Coturnix japonica: one gene and its partners. The protein of the gene in region 6 purifies or fractionates together with the protein of the main gene of each other region. This does not show direct contact. Links are inferred from orthologs where the notes say so. Each region holds a gene or a part of one and is shown on either strand. Other genes may lie near its edges. The genes, in order: CTNNB1, UBE3A, SPTAN1, ACTB, ENKUR, MYH9 and GSK3B.

Evidence for each region.
Region 1: the proteins of MYH9 (region 6) and CTNNB1 purify together in Homo sapiens (affinity purification with mass spectrometry; 3 studies listed by BioGRID, with this or other methods). This does not show direct contact. The link is inferred for Coturnix japonica from reciprocal best matches to the Homo sapiens genes MYH9 and CTNNB1.
Region 2: the proteins of MYH9 (region 6) and UBE3A purify together in Homo sapiens (affinity purification with western blotting; 3 studies listed by BioGRID, with this or other methods). This does not show direct contact. The link is inferred for Coturnix japonica from reciprocal best matches to the Homo sapiens genes MYH9 and UBE3A.
Region 3: the proteins of MYH9 (region 6) and SPTAN1 fractionate together in Homo sapiens (co-fractionation; 3 studies listed by BioGRID and IntAct, with this or other methods). This does not show direct contact. The link is inferred for Coturnix japonica from reciprocal best matches to the Homo sapiens genes MYH9 and SPTAN1.
Region 4: the proteins of MYH9 (region 6) and ACTB purify together in Homo sapiens (affinity purification with western blotting; 4 studies listed by BioGRID and IntAct, with this or other methods). This does not show direct contact. The link is inferred for Coturnix japonica from reciprocal best matches to the Homo sapiens genes MYH9 and ACTB.
Region 5: the proteins of MYH9 (region 6) and ENKUR purify together in Homo sapiens (affinity purification with western blotting; 4 studies listed by BioGRID, with this or other methods). This does not show direct contact. The link is inferred for Coturnix japonica from reciprocal best matches to the Homo sapiens genes MYH9 and ENKUR.
Region 7: the proteins of MYH9 (region 6) and GSK3B purify together in Homo sapiens (affinity purification with western blotting; 4 studies listed by BioGRID, with this or other methods). This does not show direct contact. The link is inferred for Coturnix japonica from reciprocal best matches to the Homo sapiens genes MYH9 and GSK3B.

What each region holds. Positions count from the first base shown.
Region 1 is NC_029517.1:39,929,264-39,931,949, reverse strand, and holds the end of CTNNB1 (catenin beta-1), read right to left. Parts: coding exon 2,659-2,686; intron 1,944-2,658; coding exon 1,735-1,943; 3' UTR 1,723-1,734; intron 1,412-1,722; coding exon of another isoform or gene 1,395-1,411; 3' UTR 624-1,394; downstream 1-623. UniProt on the Homo sapiens protein: Key downstream component of the canonical Wnt signaling pathway.
Region 2 is NC_029516.1:118,887,072-118,891,745, forward strand, and holds the start of UBE3A (ubiquitin-protein ligase E3A), read left to right. Parts: upstream 1-1,522; 5' UTR 1,523-1,558; coding exon 1,559-1,728; intron 1,729-4,674. UniProt on the Homo sapiens protein: E3 ubiquitin-protein ligase which accepts ubiquitin from an E2 ubiquitin-conjugating enzyme in the form of a thioester and transfers it to its substrates.
Region 3 is NC_029532.1:3,903,063-3,906,648, reverse strand, and holds part of SPTAN1 (spectrin alpha chain, non-erythrocytic 1), read right to left. Parts: coding exon 3,580-3,586; intron 1,754-3,579; coding exon 1,691-1,753; intron 609-1,690; coding exon 554-608; intron 300-553; coding exon 103-299; intron 1-102. UniProt on the Homo sapiens protein: Fodrin, which seems to be involved in secretion, interacts with calmodulin in a calcium-dependent manner and is thus candidate for the calcium-dependent movement of the cytoskeleton at the membrane.
Region 4 is NC_029529.1:4,231,607-4,236,131, forward strand, and holds the start of ACTB (actin, cytoplasmic 1), read right to left. Parts: upstream 3,223-4,525; 5' UTR 3,090-3,222; intron 2,334-3,089; 5' UTR 2,328-2,333; coding exon 2,205-2,327; intron 1,872-2,204; coding exon 1,632-1,871; intron 1,107-1,631; coding exon 668-1,106; intron 363-667; coding exon 181-362; intron 1-180. UniProt on the Homo sapiens protein: Actin is a highly conserved protein that polymerizes to produce filaments that form cross-linked networks in the cytoplasm of cells.
Region 5 is NC_029517.1:15,140,094-15,144,710, forward strand, and holds the start of ENKUR (enkurin), read left to right. Parts: upstream 1-1,661; 5' UTR 1,662-1,750; coding exon 1,751-1,818; intron 1,819-2,034; coding exon 2,035-2,180; intron 2,181-4,617. UniProt on the Homo sapiens protein: Adapter that functions to localize a calcium-sensitive signal transduction machinery in sperm to a calcium-permeable ion channel.
Region 6 is NC_029516.1:47,319,417-47,323,451, forward strand, and holds part of MYH9 (myosin-9), read left to right. Parts: intron 1-442; coding exon 443-649; intron 650-1,473; coding exon 1,474-1,578; intron 1,579-2,215; coding exon 2,216-2,368; intron 2,369-2,704; coding exon 2,705-2,953; intron 2,954-3,442; coding exon 3,443-3,655; intron 3,656-4,035. UniProt on the Homo sapiens protein: Cellular myosin that appears to play a role in cytokinesis, cell shape, and specialized functions such as secretion and capping. Required for cortical actin clearance prior to oocyte exocytosis. Promotes cell motility in conjunction with S100A4.
Region 7 is NC_029516.1:71,650,598-71,655,320, reverse strand, and holds the start of GSK3B (glycogen synthase kinase-3 beta), read right to left. Parts: upstream 3,201-4,723; 5' UTR 2,976-3,200; coding exon 2,888-2,975; intron 1-2,887. UniProt on the Homo sapiens protein: Constitutively active protein kinase that acts as a negative regulator in the hormonal control of glucose homeostasis, Wnt signaling and regulation of transcription factors and microtubules, by phosphorylating and inactivating glycogen synthase (GYS1 or GYS2), EIF2B, CTNNB1/beta-catenin, APC, AXIN1, DPYSL2/CRMP2, JUN, NFATC1/NFATC, MAPT/TAU and MACF1.

The DNA of each region.
Region 1 (2,686 bases), on a different chromosome or scaffold from region 6:
CATTGCCATATCCCTGGATGTTACTCAATGAGACATCAGCATAGCTGCAGTTTGTCTACTCCATAAGCAAAGGAGAGCACCCTTTTGTAGCTTGCTTCAGCTCTCATCTCCTTGGGATGCTACCAGGAGCTGTGATCCTTTATAGCTTTTTCCCCTTGTGATCTCATCTGCTCTGAGAGGCAGGATGAGCACTCTGGGCAGAGGCTGGTGACAGCTGCAGAGTGCAGATGTGCACAGTCTATAAATTATCCAGCAGTTGTTAACAGCATTACCTACTTCTATCTGCACAAGTGCTGTCTCTAGAGAAGGTGAGCTGCATGCAGGTCCTATCTCAGGCTGAGTTAAAGCTAGTGGAGCAGCTGAGCACTTATAAGTGAAGGACCTTCTCCTGCATGCTACACTAAGCATAGCTGCCTTGCTGAGGAACCTGAAAGGGGAAAAATACTGTGGGAGGAAGCCTCCATGATTCTAACCGTGATCTCCAAAGGACAGAGCAGCCGCCAGGTGGGATGGAGAAGGGGAGCAGTTCTTGGTTTCTGCCTTTGAAGTAGTGAAAGCATTGCACAATTTGAGAACAGGTTTTGGAGGACCTGTCAACACAGTCTGAAATAACTTGACACAGAGCGAATTAAAAGTTTACTTTAATCTTGAACCATTTTATAACTGCATTTTTTCTCATGAAGCATCTGTATCACAGCAGGCTACAATAACTTTGGGATAAAAGGCAACTGGTAAACTGTCCAATACAAGGTTCCAAATAAACAGTTCTTACTGGCCCCTACCCAGACATATCCCAGATAAAGTTTTTTGATCAAAAACATGAAATAGATCCACCTGCTTATTTTAAGCATATTAAAAAGGAAACTAATTGGACCATTTCTATTTGTCTAGTTTGTTTTTTTTATACAAAAAGGCTACACAATGTTACACTTTATTCAGAATACAGTTAGAGCGATTATGAATTAGTGTTCTACACCTTTACTCAATCCTTAAAAATTAGAAACTGCTGTAGCATATTCACTATAACTTAATACTACGAGAGACTTAAAAAAAAAAAACCTAACGACAATTACTGCGAAAAGAAAGGCTACTTTCAAAGCAAGCAAAGGTCAGTACCATTACAGAGATTTAAAAAAAATAATAAATTTTTAACAAGCAAGGCTAGGGTTTGATAAATTCCATCTTGCAATTCATTCTTGTGCATTCCTCGTTTCTTGAATCACTCCCAAAATCCATTTGTATTATTACTCCTCGACCAAAAAGGACCAGAACAAAAAGTTTACTTCAATTGTTCCCATAGGAAACTCAGCTTGGTTAGTGTGTCAGGCACTTTCTGAGATACTAGCCCACCCCTCGAGCCCTCTCAGCAACTCTACAGGCCAATCAATGCAAGTTCATTCAGATGATACAGCTGCAAAAAAGGAAAACAGAAAAATAATGTCAGTGTTCCTCAGTAAAAGTTACTTCAACATAAAGACTGCACAAAGCTGGTGATGCACAAGACGTTACAGTTAATTACTTCCATACCTCACGGCAGAAAATCATACACTCCTACAATCCAAACTGATGCGTGTCTCCAGAGCATTTTTTCCCCTCCCCCTCAGTATTCTGTCACACTGGGACCCATTTAAGCCATTCCCTCCCTGCCAACCAAGTCCTGAGTCCAGTAATTTGTTTCTCTCTTTTTGTTTTGTTTTTAAATTCACAATTGGAGCTTCTTACCTAAAGGATGATTTACAGGTCAGTATCGAACCAGGCCAACTGATTACTGTCACCTGGAGGCAGCCCATCCATAAGGTCCTGGGCATGGCCAAGATCTGGCAGACCATCAACTGGGTAGTCAGCACCAGGGTGGTGGCCACCCATTTCATGTTCCATCATAGGGTCCATACCCAAGGCATCCTGACCGTATCCGCCAGAGTGGAAAGAACGGTAGCTAGGATCTAAGAAAGTTAAAAGGTGGCAGAGGGAAAAAGAGCATAATGTTAACAGATGTTAGATGCATCAGAAGCTGCAAGTATCAGTGTGTGAGAAGATTGTTGTAGCCATCTAATTGTTTTTCTAGTTCAGCCAAGTTCCAAATGATCTGCTGCCTGCCCTTAATGGCTATTCCATCATTTGAAACAGCCTTCCAGTGTGATTCTGCAGACAAAGCAACTGCAGTCAGAAGCACGAGCAGATTCCAGCCAAGCCATTAGTCTGCACAATCAACAGTACTAAAATTCAACAATACTACAGCAAAACCAGGCTACAAGGCTGCAGACTCAGAACCCATAGCAATAGACTTAAGTCTACTGGCACTTAAAGACTAATATATATACCATACCAACATTTGTTTTAAAGAAAAACTGCACTTCTGGAATTGTCAAGTCCATCTGTAAAGGATTTAAAAGATTTCTGGAAACAGCAGCTCAGTGGGAGATTCTCTTGCAAGACTCAGACAAGCGACACCAATTTTGCACATTCATATGGCTCCCATTTCAGTGCAGCCAGAGGTGTTGCAGAAACTGCTTATTTGAACTGGCAGTTCCCCATCTGCCTGTCAGTTTGCAATATCTTGCTGAGGAGTAATTTACTCTTCAGCCATTTGCAGTTCTCCTTTACAGTCAATGACTTGACTTATATTAAGCTTAGTCAAGGGGAATGGAACAGACATACCATCTGGGCGGTATCCAAGAGGTTCTCC
Region 2 (4,674 bases), about 72 Mb from region 6:
TGGAAGGGACCTCTAGAGATCATCGAGTCCAACCCCTCTGCCAAAGCAGGCTCTGTTAAGTATTCTGTTAAGGTAGTTTTCTGTGAATTCAGCTTTCGTTCTGGTCTTAAATGTCTGTTTGGTTTTGAAGCCATCAAATATCACTGCCCCCCTTAAAGTGTTGTCGGTTAGATGTGGTACATAGTCACCTCGCACTGGAGTTAGGTTTTGTAGCTGGTTCATTTTCCTGAAAGAATGGCAGAAGGAAAATTCTGCTGCAGCCTCCCAAAATGAGCCAGAAAAATGATTAATAGCCATTGCAAATATGAACTGTGACTGTATTAGTGTTTCATCATACCAGTGCTACCCTAGAGCCTTTTAGACATGGAATGCTTTAAATTATTTTCCTCATAGCTGAGTGCAGAGCTGGATTTGCATAAGCTGAATCTTTCTAATCCATAGATGCTAGACTGTTCTTAAAATGAGAGCTAAAGTCCCATGTTATCCGCAGTCACTATGTGCGTGACCATGGTCACTGTTTTAGGGCAGTGTCAAATAGAATTCTTTCACTGAGTTCATTCTGCCATGGAAACCAAACTTACCAAAACTCCAGAAACCTTTCCAGTTGAAAACAGGATTGTGTGATGTTCCCTTTACTGTACTTGGCCTCTTTCTTTGGAGTTGTACAAGGAGAGTATGTGATGATAAGCAGTTGAGTCCCTTCTCTGTAGGTTAGATAAATGTCTCAATGGTCAGTCTTCTAATATCTATATTTTTGTGTGTGAAGTAGTTCCTTGTTGATCAAATTTGCTACTAGAATGCAAGCAGTGGCTCAGAAGGAGGTGATTAGAATCAGCGTCTCAGAAAATACTCTTCTAGTGAGTTGCAGTTGGTAGGGATGTGAAATACTGTTTAAATGTCACACTTTACACATTTAGGCTTTTAAAGTACAACATGGAGTTTAATCTGGTTAACTACATTTGCTTGGAATGTCAGGAGGTTTTTGACAGAGGGAAAACAACACAAAATACACTAAATAATGCATTTTGCTTAATGTTTGATACAGTTTTGTTTTCTTCTGAATATAAGACAGACTGAAGGGTTCCTGTGAGTATGTTTATTGTTTCACTTCTTTCCATTAAAGACTGAATTGATCTTTTCTTGGCCTCGCAGCCAGTACAGAGTATTATTAGTATTTAGGTCTCCTTACTTAATAACTTAAAGTCTGGAGAGCTACTGTTCAATATATCTAGGAGACCCTTATGTTCTCAGGTTCATCTATCTTGAGGAAGTGCTGTGGCTCTTTCAGCACACAATTCCTGAAGACGCATCAGATTCAGTATGTGTAGTGAAGTGGGTGCCCCACACTAAGGTCACAGGCACCCAGCTATTGGGGTTCACTGCCTGAGAGGCACATCATGCTGAAAGGATCAGGGTTGGAAACATGAGCTCCGTGTGTGTTTGCAGGCACACGTTAGCTGTGATGGCTTTGGCTGGAGTGGACAGAAGGTATTATAACATCACTAGAACCAAGGGGTGGTGCTCAGTTCTGGCTCCGGGTGGAACTTTGGGCATTTTGATGTACAGACATGCCCTGTGGGCAGTGCTTTCACTGGAAACCTCTCTTCAAGCATTGCCATTATTACACCTAATTATCCAAAAGAAGGAAAACAACAGGCGAAATTTAAAAGATACTTTCAGAAACCAGCATTCAGATTCACAAAGATGGCTGTCCATAACTACACTTCGGTATGTGAGATGTTTTTGACTGCTTTGGATCTGAAGGTGATCTTATATTTCAAAAGCGTAGTATAATTACTTGGCCTATTAAGTCTCAATTTTCCTCTGTTGAAAACTGTTTGCTTTATTTAGCATTTCTCTGTATTTAGCTTAAGATATCTGAGAAATGCAAAGTAGATGTGTTGTGTTGAAACTTTTGAAGCAGCACATTCAGTTCCTTGTTTTATATGTATTTAGATATCCAGCAGAAGGAACTAGAAAGTGACCTTTATAAGGAGTCTCTGAGGGAACTGTGGCTGTTTAGCTTGAAGAAGAGGCTGAGGGGAGACTCTTTACAGCTGCCTGAGCAGGCTGCAGCAAGGAGGAGGGTGTCAATCTCTTTTTGCAGGGACAAGTGCTAGGATGCAAGGAAACTTATTTGGGTTGTATCCAGTTTATACTGGATATTGGGAAGAAATACTTGGTCAAACATTGGAACAGGCTGCCCAGAGAGATGGTGGAGGCCTCCTTCCTTAGAGGTATTCATGAGACCTGTTGATGTGGCTTATGGACTTATATTGAAGGCCTTTCCCGGTCTAAATTATCCTGTGCTTCAAAATGTTATTTTACCGACATCTCCAGGGAGGTAGAGGTTCAGCAGTACGAGTTTCTTGTGCTACCCTGCAGATTTGGCAGTGTTTCAATTACAAATGATAAGTACTTATCTGGCTTTTTATTAGATAAAAAACAGTTAGAAAAGCCTATAGAGATTCTTTTATTTTTTTTAAGTACGGCATAAGTAAGTCAGTGAATATTAATTTTTAAAATGGAAAATGTGCTTGTGGAATTATTGGGCTTTGGGGAAGTGGAAGTTATGTATATTACAGTAGGCTCTTGCCCTCACCAAAGTATAGTGTCTTGCTTAAGAAGGTTGTACAAGGCCTACTGTGTGGGAAGCTATCCTCAAAGCAGCCTGTAAAATGTGTACAACTGTGCATGTGCAAGTGAGTTTTGAAATCAGATAGGCAACAACGGTATGAGTCTTTACAAACATGCGTGTAACTGAACTGCTTACATAAAAAACAATAATTGATATGAGAAAATATGTAGTGGTTCTGCAGTAGCTTTTTTTTAGTTTTCATTAATGCCATTTCTGTGCTTTTTATCCTCCATCATGATGGATATAGAGTTTCTTCTACGTCAGCTGTTAGAGACAACTCTAATCTTAGTGCTGTGCCTTAGTATTTCAGATATTACCTGATTAAAACATAGTGTTTGATGTAATAAAATACTGTTAATATAATCAGCGTTTATATACTGAAATAGTTAAAGTGTTACATGAGCTATAAAGGTGTGCATGCTTCTTTAGCAGCTTACCCAGCTTGAAAATGTAAGACTTATCTTGCTGGGAATTGGTCATCTTTTGACAGTGTATTTAGCATGAGTAACAATTCTGGCTGCTCTGGGTGAAAACGTATGCCCACATTTAGAGAAGCCTAATGAGAAATAATCCTTATAACGTTCATACGTTTTTACTCAGGTCAGAAAAAACATTGCTGCAAAGAGCTTGTGACCTATGTGTCGACTGCAGTGGAGAAATAAAATGAAAGAAAAATGTGATGTAGAAACTGGAAAGGCTGTAACTCTTATCTTCAGATCAGTATATAGCTATTCTGTTCCCTTGTACAGTAATGGAATTGATGGTGTTGATGGTGCTGCTCTGCTTTTTTATCATCTTCCAACTCTGCCATTGGGCGCCAGGGAGACATTTTATTCTGTACTTGGTCAGGTAGGCATTTGAAGTAATGATTTTCTTCCCTTTTGCTCTTAGAGATCTCATGATTATAAGGAAGGAATAGAGGTGTTACTTTTAAATAACATACACCTACCTCAGTAGTTACTTTAAGAACTTGAGGACACTTCCCCTTCCGAAGCCACTGCATTGAAACTAGTACTTGATCAGCCCATATTAATGGCTAGGCACAGCAAGTGCTGAGTAGTACAAGCAGGTCTGAGGCTTCAGTTCTAATGTACTTGTTCTATGGAGAATCTGCATACATCAATTTCTGGAAAAAGCAACTTTCATTGTGACAGTTTCTGGTTGATGTCTTGCTTCTTATGTTCTAACCTTTAGACATGTAGTGTATCATTAAATTTGAATTCAAGACCTATATATTAGACACCTCCAAAATGTTAAAGATTTTGTTTCTATTTGATACCTTGCCTTCATATCTAACTTTCTTAAAAGAACAGGATTTTTTGTTTGTTTGTTTTGAAAATACAGTGAAATATGGTGTTCTTGGTGCTGCATGTAGCTCTTACTGTCCTAATCAGCAGTAGCTTTCAGGTGTTTTATTTACCAATTGCATGTTTCTCTAAACATGTAGCTTTAGTAACTGACCATTTAGGATGTTTTTTTGTATGTATAGTACTAGGCACATCAAGTAATATAGAGTTACAGTTGTAATTCTTCAAAATACGTTCTTGCCACGTGTTACTGTGGGAGAAAGAGGAGAAATTGGCAAATAACTGTTGGAGAGACATACTTCACTAAGCTGAGGTTATTCAGCATTGAGCTCATCTTTAATCATGGTTTTGTCAGCAGTTCAATTAACCAAGTAATGCTCTTCCTACTCTTTGAAATAACAAACTAATATCAGATAGTTGTGATCACGTGGAATCTTGTGTATTAAAAGAGAAAACATGTTTTAGAGGATTGATATCCTATTGATATAGTATTTACTGATAATATTACTAAATAAATGCCTGGATCATTTGTCACGTAGCTTCCCTCTCAATGGTAACTGTACATCAGTACTGTGCATCAGAGAGTTGATTACCTGTAAATCCAGTTCTGTTCTACTTTCAGCCTTGCTTTGCATCTAAACTTTTTCTTATTACCAGTTGAAATTGTGTCCACAATAACACTAGAATGTGAAGCTGATAACTGTGTGTAAACAAGATTTACTTTTTCTT
Region 3 (3,586 bases), on a different chromosome or scaffold from region 6:
GCTGGGAAACGTTCAGGTTTGCTTTCAGGCAGCCAGCAGGTGCTGCCATTCACCTCCCCCCAGGCCGGGCACAGCACACACTACATGCAGGGCAGCCAGTACCGAGCTTGGATCTGCTGCTCCAGATTGTGCTGCATCCTCATTCCCAGCTGGTCCAGCTGGTCCCACTGCTGCGCCAGCCCCACGGTGCTGTGCTCCGTGTATTTGTTGTCCAGGATAAGTGCCTCTTCCATGGCTGCTCCAAGGTCCTCGATCTTCTTCAGCTGGCTCCTCATAGCCCGGATCTCCTGGTGTTTGCGCTGGGAGGAGCGAGAGAGGAGGAGAAAATCAAGGAGTGCAAAAAGCCAAAACAACCACAACCAGCCTTTAGGTGAACACCCATTAGGAGGGAAAAGAGGAAAACTATGTTGGAGTGTTGTTTGATGTCCTGTTTATAAGAGGACATCAGACCAAGGTTCCTTCAGCGTTCAAAATGTATAAAAATCAATTCAGATTTTACCGTATAATTGCATGGGGGAGGTGGTTTACAGACAGGGGATCAATCATTACTTACTTTAGTAGCTTCCAGCTGGGATTCCAGTGTCCCCGACTCCTCCACCATACAGGACCTACGTACAGAATCACAGTGAGGCACAGGACTCCTCCCATAACCAATGGCAGGTGGGGCTTGAAATTAACAGTCCTTCCTTCCAAATGCTCACAGCAGCATTGATCTGCAGGTATTTCAATGCTGGCTTCGTGTTTCATTTATTCCAACTCGCTATTTCAGGCGGACACGTCACATCATGTTTAATTCTCGTTTCTGTACAGTTAATTTCTAGCCCCATTTGAAAGGCAACACGCCCAGCAGTCACACTTCATGCCAGATCCACAGCACCCGCTTTGCTGGGCCTCATGAGATCAGATTGGTGCAGTCCCACCCCAGCACACACACACACCAACCATGGGGGATTCACTGATGGGCTGCACTGGGACTCTATAGAGGTGTGTTACCGGGGATAGAACAGGGGGAAGAGAACTGAGAACTGCTGGTTTGCTTGGGAAGTAATCACAGAACAGTCAGAAAACCCCGGAGCTCCCCTGTGTAGGATGATGGAGAGGTGCCTTCCTGCCCCATCCCAACCAGGGGGAACTGAGGCAGCTCTGCTCCATTCAGCCCCATCCTCACACAGCAGGGTCGCACTGCAGGGATGGCAGCAGCATCTCTCTGTAGGGACCAGATAAGGGATGTCTCTGGTCGCTGCCCCCCCAGGAACCTCAGCAGCCCTAAAGCTGCAGCACTCAGGTACCTCCATCCTCCCAGTGATGGCGAGAGCCCACACTGACCAACCTGTGTGTGGACACAGCAGTGTGTGCCATACTGACTGCTAGGGAGGGTCCTGCCAGGAACCGCAGCTTTGCAGCCCCTCTAAAGCCCATCCTACACACTTTAGAGGAGGGGACTGTGGGCGCTGGATCGCTCTGCAGCCACACAAACACCCTGATCCCCAGCACAGGGTTAAGGCCACACTCAGTGCACACCCAGAGCCCTGGGCAGGGAGATGGGAGCCAACCATGGGGGGAACCGGGCAGGGAACACACCTCCAAGCATCTCTAAGCCGTGAGTTAGTCGGAAGGAAAGCGAGCCTTGGAATTAACGAGTGCATTTAAAAACCAAAAGTGAGGTAAGAAAATAAAGAGGAAAAAAAACCTTCCAGATAGATCATCCCCAACTTCATACTGATAGACACGAATGACACGACGGTAGGCTATGCTAATCAAAGGAAAGAAACCAGGTAAATTCCAAAGGAGAAGAAGAAAGAACAGCGGACAGCACACAGCCAGCCACGGCCACTGCAGCACCAGCAGCTTGCAGCAAACAGCAGCCTTCACTTATGGAATCAATCCAGATGCTGGTTGCACACACAGGAAACTAACGGGTTATTTTTGTGTAAAGCTGGGATAAAACAATGCATTTTGTTGTTAGCTCATCTACAGCTTCTACAAAGGCGTTCTTTCCAACCCCACGCTCTCCTTTGCTCCCCTCTCCCACACAGCCAGCACCACACCAACACTCTGCTGCCCTGGAGCCTCCTTGGAGCTCTGCTTTCCCCATTGGCAGGGCAGCGCAGGGCTCCCTGAGCTCAGTCTGTGTCCGTCACCCATTCACAACAGCATTAACACACAGCATTAAGGACACAGCATTAGGGACACAGCATTAAGGACCGGCTGCCCCGCAGACCAGCGGCCTTGTGGCAATTTGTTGAACAAAAGCTCTTGGCTGCTGGTCTCCAGCTCTGCCCCCGTGGCTTTCAGTAAATGGCCCCTTTCTGTCAGCTCCTTCTTGGATACAAGAACTCTCTACTACACCAGTTTACAAAGGAGCACAGAATTCAGCAGCTGTTCCAGGAAAATCTGCTCGGTTCCATTAAACTGTTCAGCAAAAAAAATGGGGCAAACTATTTTTTATCTGGCAGAAACAGCAGAAGGGGACACTGTGGTCATTACAGAGCACACAAGCAGCAGTTATCTGCACAGAATTCCACCCTTTTATTATGAAAAGCCATCTATCTTTGTAAGAAAGGCCCCTGGCTCCCCCCAGCCCTTTGCACAGGGCCCACAGCCTCAGCGCCAGGCCCATGCAGTGTTTGTTAACCTTTTACACCATGCCTCGTTACAAAGCTTCTATTGTGTTGCAGTTGTTCCAATAGTGAAGGGATGTAAATGGGCAGACACACTCTGGGAGGTTTTGGCAGCCTGGAGGCATTTAAAGACCGTGTTGTTTCCTTTCCTCTTCCTGTCAAATCCCCGACCTGCATCATCATGGGGGGCTGCAGGAGCTCAGGCTGCAGGCAGCACCCAGCTGCCAAACCTGGGCAGCGCTCTGTGCTCCTCCTGGGATGCTTTCTACCATCAAGAATAACATCACAGCAGGGTAAGCTCCTCTCCTGCAGCACGGCCAATCAGCAGGTCAATAAGTTCATACTGTGTATGATGAAGTCTTAAAGATACCTAATTTCAGCCAAGGCTCTTCCTAGGAACACCTCTTCCTCCTCCCAGAACACAGAATGGTTGATACTCTGGGGATTTAATCATTCAGAGAACAGTTACAACAGAAAATCCATTCTGCTGAACTGAAACCTCTGACTACTGGAGAACTGTTTAAACACCAGGTGAAGATGGACGTTCTGTTCTCTCCCACATCTCAGAGCAAGAGCTGTTCCTTGTGTGAGCAACCTGCCCCAGGAGCTGACCCAGCAGCTGGCAGCCCAGCTAATGGGGGGGGAAGCTGATGGTTCTTCAGGTCCCCTCCAACCTGAGCTGTTCTATGGTTCTGTGAGCAGAACTCAGCACTGCCATGGGATGCCAGTGGTTCCCCATTCATAACTTCCTCTGCTTTTGACTAGGAAACAGTTATAGTTCTCATTGGTTTCTTTGTAATCCACCCCAAACTCGTTTCATGTGCACCTCAGCTAGATTGCTCTTTTCAAATAAAAGGGGTTCTGCTGTGGCTTTCACAAGCAACGCAATGACAGAAGAAATCACACAGAGAGCAGAGCACATCACCGCATTGTGAACAATATAAAATTCAATACTGACCCATCTA
Region 4 (4,525 bases), on a different chromosome or scaffold from region 6:
ACTCGCAGCCAGCACTTAATCTCATTACACACATGGCTGAGTGGCTGCCACCCTGCCCAGAGCAAGGCTGTAAGGCTCCACCATGAAGACAAAGCAGTTTCCATCTTCTGTAGTTTAGTTCAGCCTCCACCCACTCCGCATTAAGAGGTATGCTAGGAACAGCCCAGAGCTGCAGCCTACCTTGATTTTCATTGTGCTAGGTGCCAGGGCTGTGATCTCCTTCTGCATCCTGTCAGCAATGCCAGGGTACATTGTGGTACCACCAGACAGCACTGTGTTGGCATACAGGTCCTTACGGATATCAATATCACACTTCATGATTCTGTTGTAGGTAGTTTCATGGATACCACAGGACTCCATACCTGCAAGCAAAAAGCAGTGTCAGGTCAGTCAGCAGTTCAGGGTCAAGGAAGCCAAAGGACCTACTGCTATGGGAAGAGAAACAAAGACCCCATAGTGGGAAGCAACACAAGCAAAGCCATGGCTTACAGGCTCAGCCTCCTGGTTCTGACCTAGGTACCTCTATCATCCTCAGGCTGAGGAAGACAAAGACTGAAGTGGAATGGGACAGACCTGCTAAGGGCCAGCAGTACAATGGCAGCTGACTAGTCTCTAAGTCACTCTAGGCAGAAGGGGCACGGAATCTCCTAAAAGGAGTCAGACTTACCCAAGAAAGATGGCTGGAAGAGGGCCTCAGGGCACCTGAACCTCTCATTGCCAATGGTGATGAGTTGACCATCAGGGAGTTCATAGCTCTTCTCCAGGGAAGAGCTAGAGGCAGCTGTGGCCATCTCCTGCTCGAAATCCAGTGCGACGTAGCACAGCTTCTCCTTGATGTCACGCACAATTTCTCTCTCGGCTGTGGTGGTGAAGCTGTAGCCTCTCTCTGTCAGGATCTTCATGAGGTAGTCCGTCAGGTCACGGCCAGCCAGATCCAGACGCAGGATGGCATGGGGGAGGGCATAGCCTTCATAGATGGGCACAGTGTGGGTAACACCATCACCAGAGTCCATCACAATACCAGTGGTGCGACCAGAGGCATACAGGGACAGCACAGCCTGAATTGCTACATACATGGCTGGGACATTGAAGGTCTCAAACATAATCTAGAGAGATAAGAAAGCACTGAGTCAAGCAGAATAAACCAAGGTTCTCACTGCATGCCTACATCAGTCCATGCATGTGGTTTTACATTTGTCCCTAGATAAAGAGGCTTCTTTGCTCCTCTAGAAGGAGATATCAGTGCTTATCTCGCTTGGTCTCCACCCACACCTGCCAGGTTAGAGCCTGAGCAAGGACACTGCTACCACAGGCCCATCCACATGACACAGCAAGGAACGAAACAAAGGCCAAGGAACTACAGTATAGTCATTCAAGGCTGGTAAATGGATTAGTGTCTAGTCAGAAACAGCAGTTAGACAAGTTGCTAGTTCAGTCTCAGAGAAAGCCAGCTTAGAGCAAACAAAACCTGTCAAGGTCCAGCAAAGAGGAGACTCAGGTCAGGAAAGGAAAACCCTGTAAAGATGGCAAAAAGGGAGAAGTGGTGAAGGCGGATAGAGGACAACATGGAAGAGGAGAGCTGGCCTGCAGCAGCGCCTGCTGTAGCTCCAGGCTCAAAGGGTTTTACACACCTGTGTCATCTTCTCTCTGTTGGCTTTGGGGTTCAGGGGAGCCTCTGTGAGCAGCACAGGGTGCTCCTCAGGGGCAACACGGAGCTCATTGTAGAAAGTGTGGTGCCAGATCTTCTCCATATCATCCCAGTTGGTAATTATGCCATGTTCAATGGGGTATTTCAAGGTCAGGATACCTCTCTTGCTCTGCGCTTCATCACCTACATAGCTGTCTTTCTGACCCATACCAACCATCACACCCTGCACAACAAAGAAAAAGCTTTAAGTTTAACTCTAGGACAAAATCCAATGGATGAATAAAGGTTTTATTTCCCCCCCCCGCAGAAGCCACACCTTTAATCACTAACCCCCTACTGCCCCTACTCTGCCAGGTTAAGGACTGGAGCCATTGGCTCAACACGGGTTGCTCGGCAGGATGCTGTGTATTCAACCAGTTACTGTTGCAGAGTAGAAACCTCTTATGTCACACATGAAAGTAAAAGGGCTTCTGGAGGCTCCACGCCCTCAGCACAACCACTCCCACCGAACACTCCTCTCCATTGTCTGGATGCATCACTCCAGCCATTGCCGTACCTGATGTCTGGGGCGACCCACGATGGATGGGAACACGGCACGGGGGGCATCGTCCCCGGCAAAACCGGCCTTGCACATACCGGAGCCATTGTCAACAACGAGCGCAGCAATATCATCATCCATGGCTGGCTGCGAAGGAAGAGAGGAGGCAGTGAGATAGAAGCGCTGCCGGTCACGCACTAGAAGCCGGACCCCGCCCCGCCTCGCCCCCTATAGATCCCCCCAACGCTGGGGATGGATCGCGGGGCGGCAGCGCGGCAGCACGGCCCTCCTCCTCCCACCCATTTCCTTCCTGCCGGCTCCGCTTCGCCCCTCGCCCGCTAGAGGGGGTCAGGCGGCACCTCCCGGATTTGGGCTCGGCACAGATTTGGGACAAAGGAAGTCCCTGCGCCCTCCAACCATGACCATAAAAGGCAATGGCAGCTCCGAGCCGCGCCTCGACAGCCGCCGGCGCTATAGGGGCAGCCAGCCCCGCCCACCAGCCGCCCCCAACCACCGGCACCGCCCCGAGCCCCCAACGGCCCCGCACCCAGCACAGCCCCGCAGCCAGCACAGCCCGCGATCTGTAACAAGGATTGGGGGGGGGGGGCTGCACATGGGGGTACAGCTGCACATGGGGGGGGTTAAAGCTGCACATGGGGGTCACAACCCGACCCCCCCCCACCCCTCACTCCGCCTTTGTTCCCTCGCCCCCCGCCCCGCTCATCGCAGCACAAAGCGCCGAACCGCCCCGCGGCACCGGGCAGCACCGGCTCCGTTAACACACACACACACCCCGACTCACGCCCCCTCCCCAATACACAGCGCCCCCCCGCAGCCCCTCGGTGCTCCCCCGTATGGCACAATGGAGCTCTGCTGTCGCAGCGTTGCGGTCCGGCCGCTCACCTGTGTTTGTACCGCGGTCAGTCGGAGCCGGGTCGGGCGGCACGAGGCGGCTGGATGCGGAGCGGGGCGCGGGGCGAAGGCAGCGCAAAGCGACTCCCGCCCGCCGCCCGCTCCGCCTTTTATAGGGCCGCCGCCGCCGCCGCCTCGCCATAAAAGGAAACTTTCGGAGCGCGCCCTTCTGATTGGCTGTGGCCGCACCTCTCCCGCCTCGCCCCGCCCGCCCCCATCGCTGCACAAAATAATTAAGAAATAAATAAATAGGAAATTGGGGGGATGAAAGGGGAGAGGGGAGCGTGGGGCTCAGCTCCAGGTGAGGCTGAGCGGCGGGGTGTGACGCTCCCTTCCACCCCCACCCCCTTTTGATTCCATAGTGCTTTGATTCCATAATGCTTTGATTCCATAGTGCTTTGTTGGGGAGGGGATGCAGCCCTGCCCCCATCCCGGTGGTCCTGCGGTCCCCTTGAAGTCACCTCCCGGGGACAGGCGGCCATAGCGATGGGAGCTACGGGAGCTATGGGAGCTATGGGATCTATGGGTGCTATATGGGATCTATGGGAGCTGTATGGGATCTATGGGTGCTATATGGGATCTATGGGTGCTATGGGAGCAATGGGAGCAGTAGGAGCAATGGGAGCAATAGGAGCTATGGGAGCGATGGGAGCAGTGGGAGCGATGCGCACCGGCTGTGCATGCACTGAGCTGCAGCCACACTGATGTGCGTGCACCCAGCAGCAATAACAGCAGCCTGCGTGCATGCACTGAGCTGCAGCGATACAATGAGTGTGTGCACCCAGCAGCGATAGCTCCAGTGCGAGTGCATCATGCTGTGGGATGGAGTGATACAATGAGTGTGTGCGCAGAGCTGCAATAACAGCGAGGGCTGTGCGTGCACTAGGCTGCTACAGCAGCAAGGAACGTATCACGGCGCGTGCATGCACCGAGCTGCAATCACACCATCGGCCTGGTGCTGCAAGGGAGGGGATGGGGCACCAGGTGCATTGTTTGCACCCACCCCTCCCGGCCTGCAGCGCTACCCAGGGCCAAGTTCAGCGCTCATGTCAGCAAGTAGCGGTGCAAACCTCCCGGCCAGCCCTTGGACTGCTGGGTGCATCGCAGAGCCCATCAAGGGCCGTGCTTCGTTAGGGTGTGAGCTGCAGCGGCAGCAGCAGCCGGAGGGAGGAAACGAGAGCTGAGTAAGGAGCTGAGTCAGGCAGGGCCCGGCCCGGCGGAGGTCAGGGCAGCCGAGGGGCCTTTGCCTACATTTGGGCAATATTTTGTTTCTTTCCTGTTTGCAGCGTGTGCTGCGGGGTTGGACAGGGCGGTGCGTGGTGTTGGTGAGCAGCGCTGCATGGAGCTGGAGCTTTGCAGCTCCAGAGCGTTGTTGATTAATTGCATTGATTAAGGCGCCGTGCAAGAAGCACTGTGGGTGTTATGGG
Region 5 (4,617 bases), on a different chromosome or scaffold from region 6:
AAAAAATATATCTGTGAAGAGTATTTGTAATATTCAGTGCCATTATAAAGCTGTTCTGTAATGGTAATGCACTGAAGTGAATATACACATGCAAAGCTAACAGGGCCAGAAAGTGATACTTAAGCAAACATGAGTATGTTCAAGATATTAAAAAAATAAGTAAAAATTAAAGTAATTGAGACAATATTTTAGTGATTTTATTGAGCATAACTTCAAACCTTGTTTAGGAACAAAGGGCATATAAATCATGCCAAGCAAAGTGTCCTGTCTACACCTCTAGTTGTACCACAGAAGCGTTTTAAGGCGTAGTCACTTAGTACACTATACAGCTGCAGGATGGAACATCTGGACTGCTTTATGAATCTAGGACACGGGAACACAAAAGCCCCAAAAATTAGTGCTGTAGGCAAGGAAGGAACTAGATACAGACTTCTCTGATTACATACTTGCCATATTTGCATAACGTTACAAGTAGTCTGTGAGATTGCTTGAAATCAAGTCAGTAAATCCGATGCAAGAATGCGCATGTTATTTTATTCAGCTGCTCAGTTGCAACTTCACCCAACCTTGCACCAATATGATGTATATATGGTAAAAAGAAGCTTGCAATTACTGAACTGCTCTTTTAAAATCATTTTTATTCCAGTGTCAAAAGTTTACTGTGAAAACAGTGTGAATTAGATTTCATGTCTAGCAGAGTTTACCAGTCTAGTGAGAGCACCAAACCAACCACCTTTAGCTACAGCTACCTGTGCCAAAAGGCTTTGGGGGTGAGAGGGTGTTGTACTGAAGCAGAGCTTATGCCTTTACCTCCAATGAAATCAAGTTCTGACAATAGAAGTCAACCCTCCACTTGGAGGGCCAAAGGCCTCTATGTATCACTTGCAGATGTACACAATCTTAGCAACCATTAATGATGATGGGAGTTATAGAGAAAACTGGCTGCAGATACCAGCGTAGACACAAAGCGTGGTTAAAATCCAGAGACCAAACAAGCCAGCGGTGGTTTGTAGCTGTTGGAGAACTCAAGGTAAGTCAAGACAAATAATCATCAGACTTCAGAGCTTCCAATACACAAGAAAAACCTCCCCTTTGCCTTTCCTCAGAACTTTTGTGAAGGGAATAAAATAAATCTTAAAGTAAGCCAACTTCAACCTTCCCATGATCACCCCACAGCCCAGAATGTGAGATGGTACTTGACAAAGCAGGCACCCATGTGAAATCTGTCTGCACCTCGTTTCCACACAAGCATTAAAGGAAGGTGAGGAAGCCTCCCAGTCACCAAGTGAAAGAGCCCGGTCACAGCAGCAGATGAGCAACCACAGCAATCACAACTGGTGCAGGGGAACGGATCACTTACAAGCTCTACGAGCAGCTGCAGCACTGCCAGAACCGTACAGTGAAGGAAGCTGGGATGTACAGGGGACAGATCTGAGCTGCCACGGGACCTCCCATGTGCTAATCCAGAACATCAGCGGGCACTCAAAGCTCTTTAGGAGCCTCGCTCATCTGCAGGGAAGAGGTCGAGCTCATTTCCGTAAGATCTGTAAAACAGAACAAACACAACAAAGGAAACCCCGACCCAACGTCGGCTCGGATCTCAGCACAGCCGTCACCGCGTACCACGTAGGGGCGGAACAGACGCGACGTGGCCCAGCCCCTCGTGGCGCTGTTGCCCAGTAACGCGTTTTCATGGTGACGGCGGCCACAACAACAGCGGGCGGCAGCTTGAGACGGGAACGGGAGGAGGATGGCGGCACAGGAGAGCGTGTATAACCTCTTGCCACGGCTGGAGGAGAAGCCCGTCAAACCCCCGAGGTACGTGGGGATGTAAAGCACCACTTGTTGGTGCTGTGGTTCCGGTAGGGCCCTAAAGCCTGAGGGTGTGGGCTGTCAGCGTGAGGCAGCGCTGAAGTGTAGCAGGGAGGTGATGGGATGATGGCTTTGGGAAGACATAAAATGAAATAGTGCAGTCTTTTGTTGTGCCTTTTTCTGACCTTTAACTTCACCACGCCTATTTTTTTAACATCAAAGGTACATATCAACGTTTCGGCCGTCCGTGAAGCTCGAAATAGGGCAAAGTAAAGCGCAATGGAAAACTATGGGGCCAGCAAAAGTTGCAGTGCCATCTCCAAAGGATTTCCTGAAGAAACACTCCAAGGGACCCACGTTACCAGCAAGTAAGTGTGTGTCACTGGTCACATGAACTGCAGGGCGTTCATTCTCAGCTGCAGCCATTTAAGGATGGAAGATGTGTTGACAGCGTGATGTGCCCTCCTGATAGCTCAATTTGCAGTTCCATAATTTAGAAATAGAACTACCCTGTCTTCAGGCACAAGTCATAATTCTGGGCGTTAGAAGTTCTGGGTGTAAGAAACTGAACACATGTTCAGCTTCACAGGCTGCCCAGGGAGGTGATGGAGTCTCCTTCTCTGGAGATATTCAAGACCCGCCTGGACGCCGACCTGTGTGACGTGGTGTAGGGAGCCTGCTTTGGCAGGGGGTTGGACTCGATGATCTCTAGAGTCCCTTCCAACCCCTACAATTCTGTGATTCTGTGATTCATGGCCCATTCTGCAATGCTGCAGTGACTTCAGTACTGCTGGAATTGTAAGTACGTTGCTGTCAGAATTTGTAATTGAATTATAAAGTTTTAGCTTGAAATGGTTTTTAGCCTGGAAAAGAAGAAGAAAAAAAGCAAAAAACAAGCAAACAAACAAAAAGCAGAAGAGCTTAAAGTACCATACTAAAAAAAATGCCATCTAAGAGGATGTGTGGATCAGCACCAAAACATGTAAGGTACATGCAAATGACTTTAGCTTTGAAAATATAGGCTATGACAGGAGCCTTTGGAGGTTCAGTTCCTTATCAGAACACTGAGGTAGGTTTTGGTCTCTGAAGTCCTGTCGGTTTCCCAGGTGGGTTTTACAAAAGATCATCTCATTTTCAGGAAAGCTGAACAACATTCAGTATGCTGGAATGTAATGCTTCATGGCATTTGATCATTAGTGCTTTCAAGCTCAAGAACTTGTTAAATTGCTGCACTCATGTTTTAGATGAACATAAGAAAGAATGCTGGTTCACCAATAACTTGGAACAGTCTGTAATGTTCCTTTTAAGTACTTTTTATTAAAAGTACTTTTAAGTATTGCAAAATTTCTGTTAACTACTACAAACTGGCTCTGTTTGGGCACTCAGCACTCTGCTCTGTTTTTCTCATAGGAGCAACTTAGAATATTTTTATTTCAAATTGCTAATTCAGAACTTCATTAAAAACACCTACTGGTGTGTTTGCATTTAGAGCTGACATACTGTAGCCTTAGAATGAGTCTGACACATCATAGCTACCATTCAGAGCAGTGATCTCATTGCTGTTAGATGCTAACAGGTCTTGAGAACAAACTACATCATCAACTCAGAAAATTCTTATGCTTTTGTTGGAGTTTCATACCTACCTCAGAAAACTTACATTGCTTAACGGCCTTTTTTTAATGTATGGCACTTTCATCACCTGGAACTTAAACATTTATCATCTGTCTGTGTGGCATCATGGCTTTTATTTTTAATGATTCCTATGTCATCTCAAAAATTGGGTTTGATCTCTCCAGTTAAAATGCAGATTGCAAAAAGCAGAAAGATCGAATTATTTTTTCTCCTGAACTCTAGGATAATGTCACTCTTAGAGAGTTTGATTACTCAGTAAGTAATTCCTTTAAAACAGTATGTTTCCTAATTGGCATCTTGTATTACTGGTTTCTGGCATTCATGTTAACCAAACTATGTTATTGGCCATAGAAGAAGTGGAGGCTCCTAAAACATTGTGTGTGCACCAGTGTTATGCAGGTAAGGATGAGCAGGTGCTCACTGAGAAGCCTCAGAGGTCCTTTTTCCAAAGTGATGTCCTTAGAGAAACAGATTTAAGCCTGTGTTCTACAGTACTAAATTATGGCAAGCTTTCAAAACAAACTCAGAAAAGCACTGGTTCATGGGGTCAGCATCAGGAAGCCAGCTGTTGTAGGAATGTACTCTTACATATTAATGACTCTAAGTTGGAGTTCTGTCTGTTGGGAAAAATGGTGGGGAATAAGCTGTCTTTCATCACTCAACTGAACTCACAGTACTCCGGAGACTACCAACTTTGTGTTGGTGTGTTGGAAGGATTACACCAAAAAGGAAGCGTTCCTGCATTCTCTGGAGAAAGGATGGTAAGAAGCAATATTACAGAAGAGCAGGAGCCAGGCAGCTCCTTAAGGAAGGCCAGAAATTAAGAGTGACCTAAAAATGACCTCACCAACAGAAAGTTGGTAGCAGGCCCAGCTCAGCAGAAGCTTGAAAGCAGAGCAGGACAGTGATGAAAATGAGCCTTGCCAGTAGCCTTGTGATCATCAGGCAAGGCAGGGCAGCAGGCCAGGTCTGTCCACTGATTCCACACAGCACTTCTGGAGGAGTCTGAGGGCAGGCACACCTGAGAGCTGGATGAGACAGGGACTGACAGCCCAGGGCTGGGCTGAAGTGTGGTGCACTAAATGATGCTGGTCAGGACTAGCAGGGCCTACTGTGTGTGCTCAGAGACCTGACAGTGAGCACCTCTGGTAAAAGTGGTTTCCATTACATTTT
Region 6 (4,035 bases):
CTGCTCTGTTGCAGTGTCTTAATACATGATGCACATACTCTTCATTCCTTGGTAGATCATTTTGTACTATGGAGCATATTATAGATGTATAAATAGCTGCATTCATTCATTTGTTCCCATCAGGCATCTTCTACTGAATAGCCAAGATACTGTTTAGTTCTTTTCACTTCTAGCATTTGTTGAACTGTACAGCCTTTAATTTGAAACTCTGATGGTGCAAGACTATCTCCTTTATTGTTGTCTGCTCTGATTGTTTGTCTCCTGCTTATCAGGTGTTCATATTGTTTTTTTCTGAATGAGCAGTCTAAGACTTAGCTGTAAAACATGCAACATTGGTTTGTTGGAATAATTTGGAGGGGGAAAAAAACGTAATCACTCACTGGATGTATTCTGCTGTATCTTCAGTCTGAGGTATTTTGTTGTTATTTCCCTCCCCCTCCAGGTGAGAGCAAATCTTGAAAAAGCAAAACAAGCCCTGGAAAGTGAAAAGGCTGAACTGTCCAATGAAGTGAAGGTACTTCTGCAAGGCAAAGGGGATGCAGAGCACAAGAGGAAAAAAGTAGATGCTCAGCTCCAAGAACTGCAGGTGAAATTTACAGAAGGTGAAAGAGTAAAGACAGAATTGGCTGAGAGAGTGAACAAGTTGCAGGTGAGTGGCATGGGTTTTCCTTAGCTTCTGTTGTAGCCAGAGAATAGAGAGGAAAGAAGGTTATAGGGTGGTACCTTCCTGTGGTTAATTTGAAAATCTCTTGTTCCTCCAGAGGATCTTTATCCTCTGCTTTTTTGTAGGAACTTTTTCCTACAAAAAAGCACAGACATAGTTTGCTTCCCAAGGACTCAGCAAACTCCTTAACTCATTATCAGCTCAGGCCATTAGGACTGGTGTCATTAATGAGCAGCCACCAAAAGGTGCTTCCCTTCAGCGTGCAGCAGTTTGTACTGTACAGTTCCATAACCTTTCAGCTACTTGTGAGCCTAGAGTGGCACAGTCTGGTGATTTGGAAGAATGTATCTTGATAGTTTGTAATGTGGTTGATGGTGAAGAGGGGTGGCTAAAGGGAGATGCTGAAATTCAGGATTTTTTCCAGCTCTCTTCAAGATAAACAATACCTTTGGTTCACACCAAGCATTGCCTATCATTAGGGCTGTCGTTAGGTGTTTAGCATTGCTGGTGTATGCATACTCTTCTGGAGTCTGAAAATGTAATTTGGAGTATCTACATGCAGTCCTGAAGCAAATCACATGTGATAAAGAGATTTAAAGACAAAAGGTTGTTGCAGTTGAGTCTCTTTTGGATTCTTTGTATTTCATCCCTAGGTACCTAGAAATGACACATGTCTTCTCCCAGGAGATGATACGCATGCCTTACTTTTGAGAAGTGCCTTGTTTTTCACATTCAGGTCTTGCAGCTGTTCCTGGCTTTCTTCATCTTGCTGATGCATTTAATAAGTGATACTCTCATCTCTCCTGCAGGTTGAGCTGGACAATGTCACAGGCCTTTTGAACCAGTCTGACAGCAAATCAATCAAATTAGCAAAGGACTTCTCTGCTCTGGAGTCACAGCTTCAGGATACTCAGGTGAGAGCTCTGGAAGCCAAGATATCCATATTATCTGTATAACTTACATCCACTGTCTGTTACAAATGGTCTCAACTAAAGTGAGAAAGCAATCTGGACTGCTGTTAACTGACTATACAACACTTCAAAGGATTGAATCTGGCTGTTTTGCTAAGGGGCTGTGCTGCATGGTGTTGAGAGCATTACTGATGAAACGAGCTCTTTCTCTTCCTTCTGCTTCTTCAGTATATGGAACACACGTAACTTTCCATGTCTTAGAAGTCTTCCTCTATCACTCTTCTGCTTGGGAGTTCTTTGTTGCTAGTACTGAGCTGCAATGCTAGATTCTTGTGTTTGATGGGCTTTTTTTATTTCTCTGTTCATGATTTCCAATAGATCCATAAAGTTATCCCATTGGATAAGTTAGTAAGTTAGAAGCTAGTAAATATTGTTGGTGCCCCAAGTTGGTAAATGATCACTGTCTTAGAATTCTGCTATGAGTAAAGTTGTTCTTAACCATGCAAAATCACTTTAGCCTATTGTCCATTTCTGTGGTAATAAACTTCAAAAATATTCCTGCTGGAGAGAATGACTGAGGATGGTGAGCCTTGTAAACCAAGGAGATGTACTGAGTTCCTCTGGGGTGCTTGTGTTGTAGGAGCTGCTGCAGGAGGAGACTCGCCTAAAGCTGAGCTTCAGCACTAAACTGAAGCAAACAGAGGATGAAAAAAATGCTTTGAAAGAGCAACTGGAAGAAGAAGAGGAGGCGAAGAGAAACCTAGAGAAGCAGATCTCTGTTCTTCAGCAACAGGTACAGTCTACCTTCCATAAATCAAACACTTGGGAGGAGAGGAAGTGCAATTCTAACTTGAAGGAAGTAAAATGTAAATGAGGAATGGGCATCTAATGAGAGAACCTTTGATGGACAAGGGTGATCCTGCTTACTTGATTGAGTCTCAGATAATGATCTTACTGTAGATTTCTACCCAGGAATTCCTTTGGAGTCATTGATACAGTGTTGATGATTGTAGGTGATTCCTTCAGAACTCAACAGACCTATTTCCTCAGCTCATCTAGTGCCAGTAAACCACATACAGTGTTGTGCTACATGTGGTGAGATTCACATGCAGTCTTTTCTGTTCTTCAGGCAGTAGATGCCAGGAAGAAGATGGATGATGGTCTGGGCTGCCTTGAAATAGCAGAAGAAGCCAAGAAGAAGCTGCAAAAGGACTTGGAGAGCTTAACCCAGCGTTATGAGGAGAAGATAGCTGCATATGACAAGCTGGAAAAAACAAAGACCCGCCTGCAGCAAGAGCTGGATGACATTGCTGTGGACCTGGATCATCAGCGCCAGACAGTTTCCAACCTAGAGAAGAAGCAGAAGAAGTTTGATCAGGTATGACTTCAGTGTCAATCTGTTCAGTGTAGGTACATCTGACTAGGCAGGTTTGCCTCTTAAGAATATCTAAACAGTGCTGTTTGGAGAATACACATTTATTTCTAAACTCAGGTACAGCACATAAAGTGGAGAGAAGCTGTCATAGAGGGAAACTTGTTTCTTGCACAAGAAGTTTAGTGATGCGCCTTTTCCCAAAGGGCTAACAGTTATACTGATAACAATATCCAGTTGTAAATGCTGGCTGCAGTTTTTGAGGGGCTGTTTGGAACTGATATGTTGGATGCTTAGGGAATCAGAGGTTTATTCACATGGGGTCAGCACATTATTGGAGATGGGATGGTATGCATTCTCTGAAGACAGGTTTTCTTGATTCTTTCTGTCTGAGGCAGAATGCTACTTAGAAGGCAAAAAACAGAAAAGGTGCATGTTTGCCTTGTTCAGAATGGCTTAGTGATTTCTCAAAATACTAATGCTGTGTTCTTGTAGCTCTTGGCGGAGGAGAAGAACATCTCAGCCAAATATGCAGAAGAGAGAGACCGTGCTGAAGCTGAAGCCCGTGAGAAGGAGACAAAGGCCCTCTCCCTGGCCAGAGCCCTTGAAGAAGCCATAGAACAGAAAGCTGAACTGGAACGAGTCAATAAGCAGTTCCGCACTGAGATGGAAGACCTGATGAGTTCAAAGGATGATGTTGGGAAAAGCGTAAGTATGGAGCTAAGGAGTCTGTGCAGGACATGTCACAAAGACATTACTGTTAGTTTGATGCTGCAGAATACTTATGCTGGTGTGAACATGGTCAATTGTAGTAGAGAGCACTGAATGCTTTGAGGATTTGTGAATATTACATTTGTATTACATTAGTGAGCAGGAAAGTTGAGTAGAAAGAGCTTGGAAATTACCCAGATGACATAGTGTTAGAGACTTGTATTGTGTGAGATGAATTAGAGGCTGTGGCACAGTGAAAGTCAGCCTTTTCTCTTGCATAGCTGGTGATGGGACTAGAGGGAATGGATTCAAATTGCACCAGGGGGTGGGGTCAGCTTGGTTATGAGGAAAAATTTATTCTCAGAAAGATTGGCCAG
Region 7 (4,723 bases), about 24 Mb from region 6:
AAGCTGATTTCTTGCACTATTAGACGTTAAGATAACAGCTAAGCTCTCACAACCACCATCTTTGCCATACCACGCACTTCCTACGGGCTCAACCTAAGAACACACGTTTCTTTGTGCGAAGAAAACCTACAAAGCCAGCAACGAAGACCTGAACAGAGAATAAACTACCTGGGAATGACTTCAGCACAGAAATTCATATGGTGCGGTGGAAAGAAACACAAAATGATCTCAAAAACACCAAAATAACAAAAAAATTGGCAGATCTCATAGGAACTCTTGATGTTGGTACATCATGGAAGTGATACAGGAAGGCCACAGGGTTCCTACTCTTGTAGCAACTGTAAAATTCTCATAACTAACAACTATGACAGAGGCCTGGGAAGTCACCTTCCTCCGAAGCCAGAGGACAAGACCCTGATGGGAATCCCCTTCCATTCAAGGCTCAAGCTTCTCAACAACTTCCGAGCACAAAGTCTAAAAAGATGGAAAAGTCAATGGCCACTCCCCCCTTTCACAGAATCACAGAATGAGCCGGGTTGGAAGGGACCTCAAGGATCATGTAGTTCCAACCCCCCTGCCTGGCAGGGCCACCAAACATACACCTTTACTAGATCAGGTTGCCCAGGGCCCCGTCCAACCTGGCCTTGAACACCTCCAAGGACGGGGCATCCACAACCTCACTGGGCAGCCTGTTCCAGGGCCTAAGCCTGCCATATCCTGAGCAGAAGAGCAATCACCACACTCCAGCTCTCTAACACAAGGTCCAACACACCCTCCTCCATTCCTTCCTCAATGCTTCCACCTCGTCCTTTGAATCCTTTCAAAGGAATGGAACTACTGCCGGGATCAGCTAGAAGGTGGTCACCAAAGCAAGCGTGACCTCACCACCTCATTTCACCACCACCCCAGCCTTACAAAGGCGAGCAAAAAGGCTGGCATAGAGGATAGGCTTTGCTTCCTGGTGACCTGGAGAAGGTCTGAATCAAGATGGGGATACAACAGCTGCCTACAGGACTCAAAGAGCAGCAATCCATCCATTTCCATCTGCTTCACAATCTCAAGAGAACCAGTAAAATATCACCCTTTCTGGCAATCAGTGGCGCTGCTCTCTTACAAAGGAAAATAAGAAGTCGAAACTTCCTGCACTGTCTTACACGGATAGATTAAGTGAAAAATACGCCTGCCTTTCCCACACAGTCCTTGCATGCGGTTCTCTTGCTTTGTTCTGACATTTTTTTCCAGACAGCAGAAGGACCAGGAGCACATGACTAGAGCGACTGGGGAGGAGGGGCTGGGGGGGGGGGTTATCACAAGTGCGTGTGCTTTATGCTACGGCCTTTGTTTCTCCCTCCGTGTTCCACACTTGGGATCAAATCGTATTTGCAAACTTGTTAGTCTGCATCACTTAGCACCCGCTTCGAAGGCGAGCATCTGTCTGGTTTCTGACCTCAAACAAACAGGAAAGGAGCATCAATGACCTTTCAAGAATCGAGCCGTACAGCTCGAATAAGGCAAATTTAGCTTTGGAGCGTGGCAGGGCTAAGTGTGGCTATAGCGTTAAACAGCCACCTGCAGAAATACCCAGCGACAAAACCTGCTTCCTATTCCACGCTCACGTGAAATAAATCGATACATTAAAATGGAGTCTTAAATATTCCCCCTTCCCCCCTCCCCCCCCGTGTGAATTAAGATCTTTAATACATTTGAACCAGATCAAACACAACCCGTTTTAGCAGCATATAAGAGTATAAAGGGCACTCGGAGTGCAGCAGGCACCCTGATCATGCAGATACAAAGCAGCAGCTCCAGAACCTCAGCCCAATATTCTCCTCAAGGCTTCAACCGCAGCGGAAGTACATTTTGATGCAGAAAAACGTCAGAATTTCTCTCATCTGTCAAAAAACCCCCAGCCGGGCAGAGCCCCGGCTTGAAAAGCCTCCAACACCAAGAACCAAACCCGCACACAGCAGTGCCAGGTGTGACCACACGGGATATCAAACGGATCAATCAAACCTTAACGCCCATCAAGCGCTCCAGGTCCCATAAAGACCCAGCCCTCCATTTCCATAGGGGAAAAAAAAAAGGGGGGAATATTACTGAAAACAAAGCCCGTAGCATGAATCGGCAATGATCTGACTGTTAATAGGCACGTATTCAAAGAAACCTTCAGGAATTATTTGCCATTCAAGAGATATAGTTCATTGTAGGTGACCCGCAGCTGGGCCTTTCTCTGGTCGTACCGAGAAGCAATGCCCATTCTCCATTCATATAGTGTGGCCGAGCCCACCAGCTGCAATGCAAAGGGTGGGCACCCATCAAGCACCGATCATTTCCAGCATGCCCGTGTGGAATAAAGCACAGGCCTCGTTCTTCAAAATATCCCCGTTGAGAAAACCTGGGCAAGGCAGCTCGAAACAACCACTCGCAAGCCACAATGAGGATTTTCTTCCTCCCTCCCGTTGGGGATCATTAGCAGCGTATGATACACCCTTTGTAACCCCCTCGGACGGCCTTTGTAATAGCCCCCCGTTTTCTTCCGCCTTTAATAGGCCGGGCCGTGGGCTTCCCACACCTGATACAGAGCTCCCCCCCCACCTCTTCCATCTCCCTCCTTCAGAGGGCACAAAACACCTCATTGGGACCAATGTCACGGCCGTACCCGCGTGCCCGTCATTCATCCCCTCCTCCCCGAGGCAGGAGGCAGAACAGGGGTGCTGGTAACCCCGAGGAGCCCCCCGCGGAGGCGAAACGGCACGGCCGGCAGGGGCCGAGGGCAGGGCCGGGAGCGGCCTTTTTGTGTCCCCCGCAGGCCCGGCCGAGCTCGCGGCCCACCCGAGACGAACGCGAGGCAGGGCAGGAGGGCGGCAGGGAACGGCCCGATACTCACGGCTGACTTTCATGCTGCCGAAGGCCGAGGGCTGCTGCACCGGCTTGCAGCTCTCCGCGAAGGAGGTGGTCCTGGGCCGCCCGGACATGGTCTCCGGCTCCGGCTGCGTCCCGTCGGGCTGTCCGCCTCCTCCGCTCTCCTCGGGGCTGCTCGCGGGGCTGTGTGCTGCGGGCTCAGCGGGAGGCGAAGGGCGAGCTGTGCCACATGAACCGCCGGCCCCTTCCCCCCCGGGGAAGCCCCCTCCCCTCTCGCTCTCCCCGCCGGCCTTTCCTCGCGTCTCCTTTCTTCTCCGGCCTCGCTCCTCCCGGCGCTCACAGCGCCATCCTCCCGCAGTGCCGGTGGGTCCGAGAGCCGCCTCCTCCCAGCCGCAGCCCCCCGGGCCGGCCGCGAGCAGCGGGGCTGTGCTCGGTGCTAGGCCTCGCTGCCCCCACCCTCAGCCCAGTCACATGGGGCGGAGGCTCGCGGCCCGGCTCCTCCGATCCTGCCGCTCGGCTTCTCTCTTCTCCTTTTCCCCTTTATGTCTTTTGCCTTTTTTCTTTTTTTTTCTCTCTCTCTTTTCTTTTTCTCCTCGCCTCCTTCCTCTCTCTGCCTCCTGCCCTCTCCTCTCCTTCCCCCTTCGCCACTGAGGGAGGGAGGCGGCGGGACTACTTTTCCCCCGGCGGAGGGATCTCGGAGCTGCTGGATCCGCCGACGGGAGGCGATGCGGCCCCGCGCAACGGGATCCGGCGGCGGCGGCGGGATCCGCGGCGGGCGGAGCGGTGTGAAGCGGCGCGGTGTGCCCGGCTGGCTCGCAGTGTGTGTGTGTGTGTGCTCTCAGTGCGGCGCTGAGGCGGCTCCGGCGCGGCTCCTCATTGCTCCCGCAGGGGCAGCTGGCGGCGGCTCACGCTGGGCAGGCTGCAGTGCGGGCGGTGGCCGGCGGCGGCGGTGCGGGCCATGGCGGCGGCGTTGGCTCCCAGCTCGTCCTCAGCCGGCTTCAGAGCGCCGGCGGCTCTCGCTGTTGCTTCCCCGGGCGTCCGAGGCGCATGAGGAGCCGTCCGCCCGGCTGAAGCTTCCCGCCGCTCCCTTCTGGCGCCGGCTGCCTCTCGCCGGGCCCCCCTCCCCGTTTCTGTTGGTCGCTCCCTTTGTCCCCGCTGCTGCCTCCGCTGCGTGCCGGGCTCCCGCTGCTGCGCTCTGTGTGTGCGCCAAAGCCGCGCAGCCGCCTATGCCCGTCGCCGCCCTACGCTGCGGAACGGCCCTAGGCGCCTTCTGTGAATAGCCACCCGAAGCGCCCGACGCACTCGTTAGCCCCCAGCCCGAGGCCCTGACGGAAATACCCGAGCGTCGTCGGGACCAATCCCGAGGCGGTTACGGAAATGCCTGTGACGGATCGGAACCAATCGCGAAGCCCTTACGGACGCACCCGAATCCCCCCGAAGCCAGGCGGAGGCCCAATCGGAAGGCGCCGCCACCGCCCTAGCAGCGCAGTCGGGCGGCCAATAGGAAGAAAGCCTCTCTTCCGGCTATTACCGAGCCAACCCGAAGGGAGCCGAAGCCAGACAGCCAATCGCAGGGCGCGCTGTCTCGATTACGCTCCGCCGATTGGTTCACGGCGATGAGGCGGCACGAAGACGGCAGCCAGCTGCGAGCTCTCGGCCAATCGCCATGCAGGGCCGGCAGCACGGCCCGCTCCCATTGGAGCATGGCAGCGGCGGGCGCCGCCCCTTTCACCTTCATGACCTCACCCGCTGCGCAGGGCGGGGATGCGGACAGAGTGCGCATGCGCGGGGCGTTATCGCCGCCGCCCTTGTGTGGGGGTTACAGGCTCTTCAGAGGGGCTGGGAATGGCGGGGGTGAAAC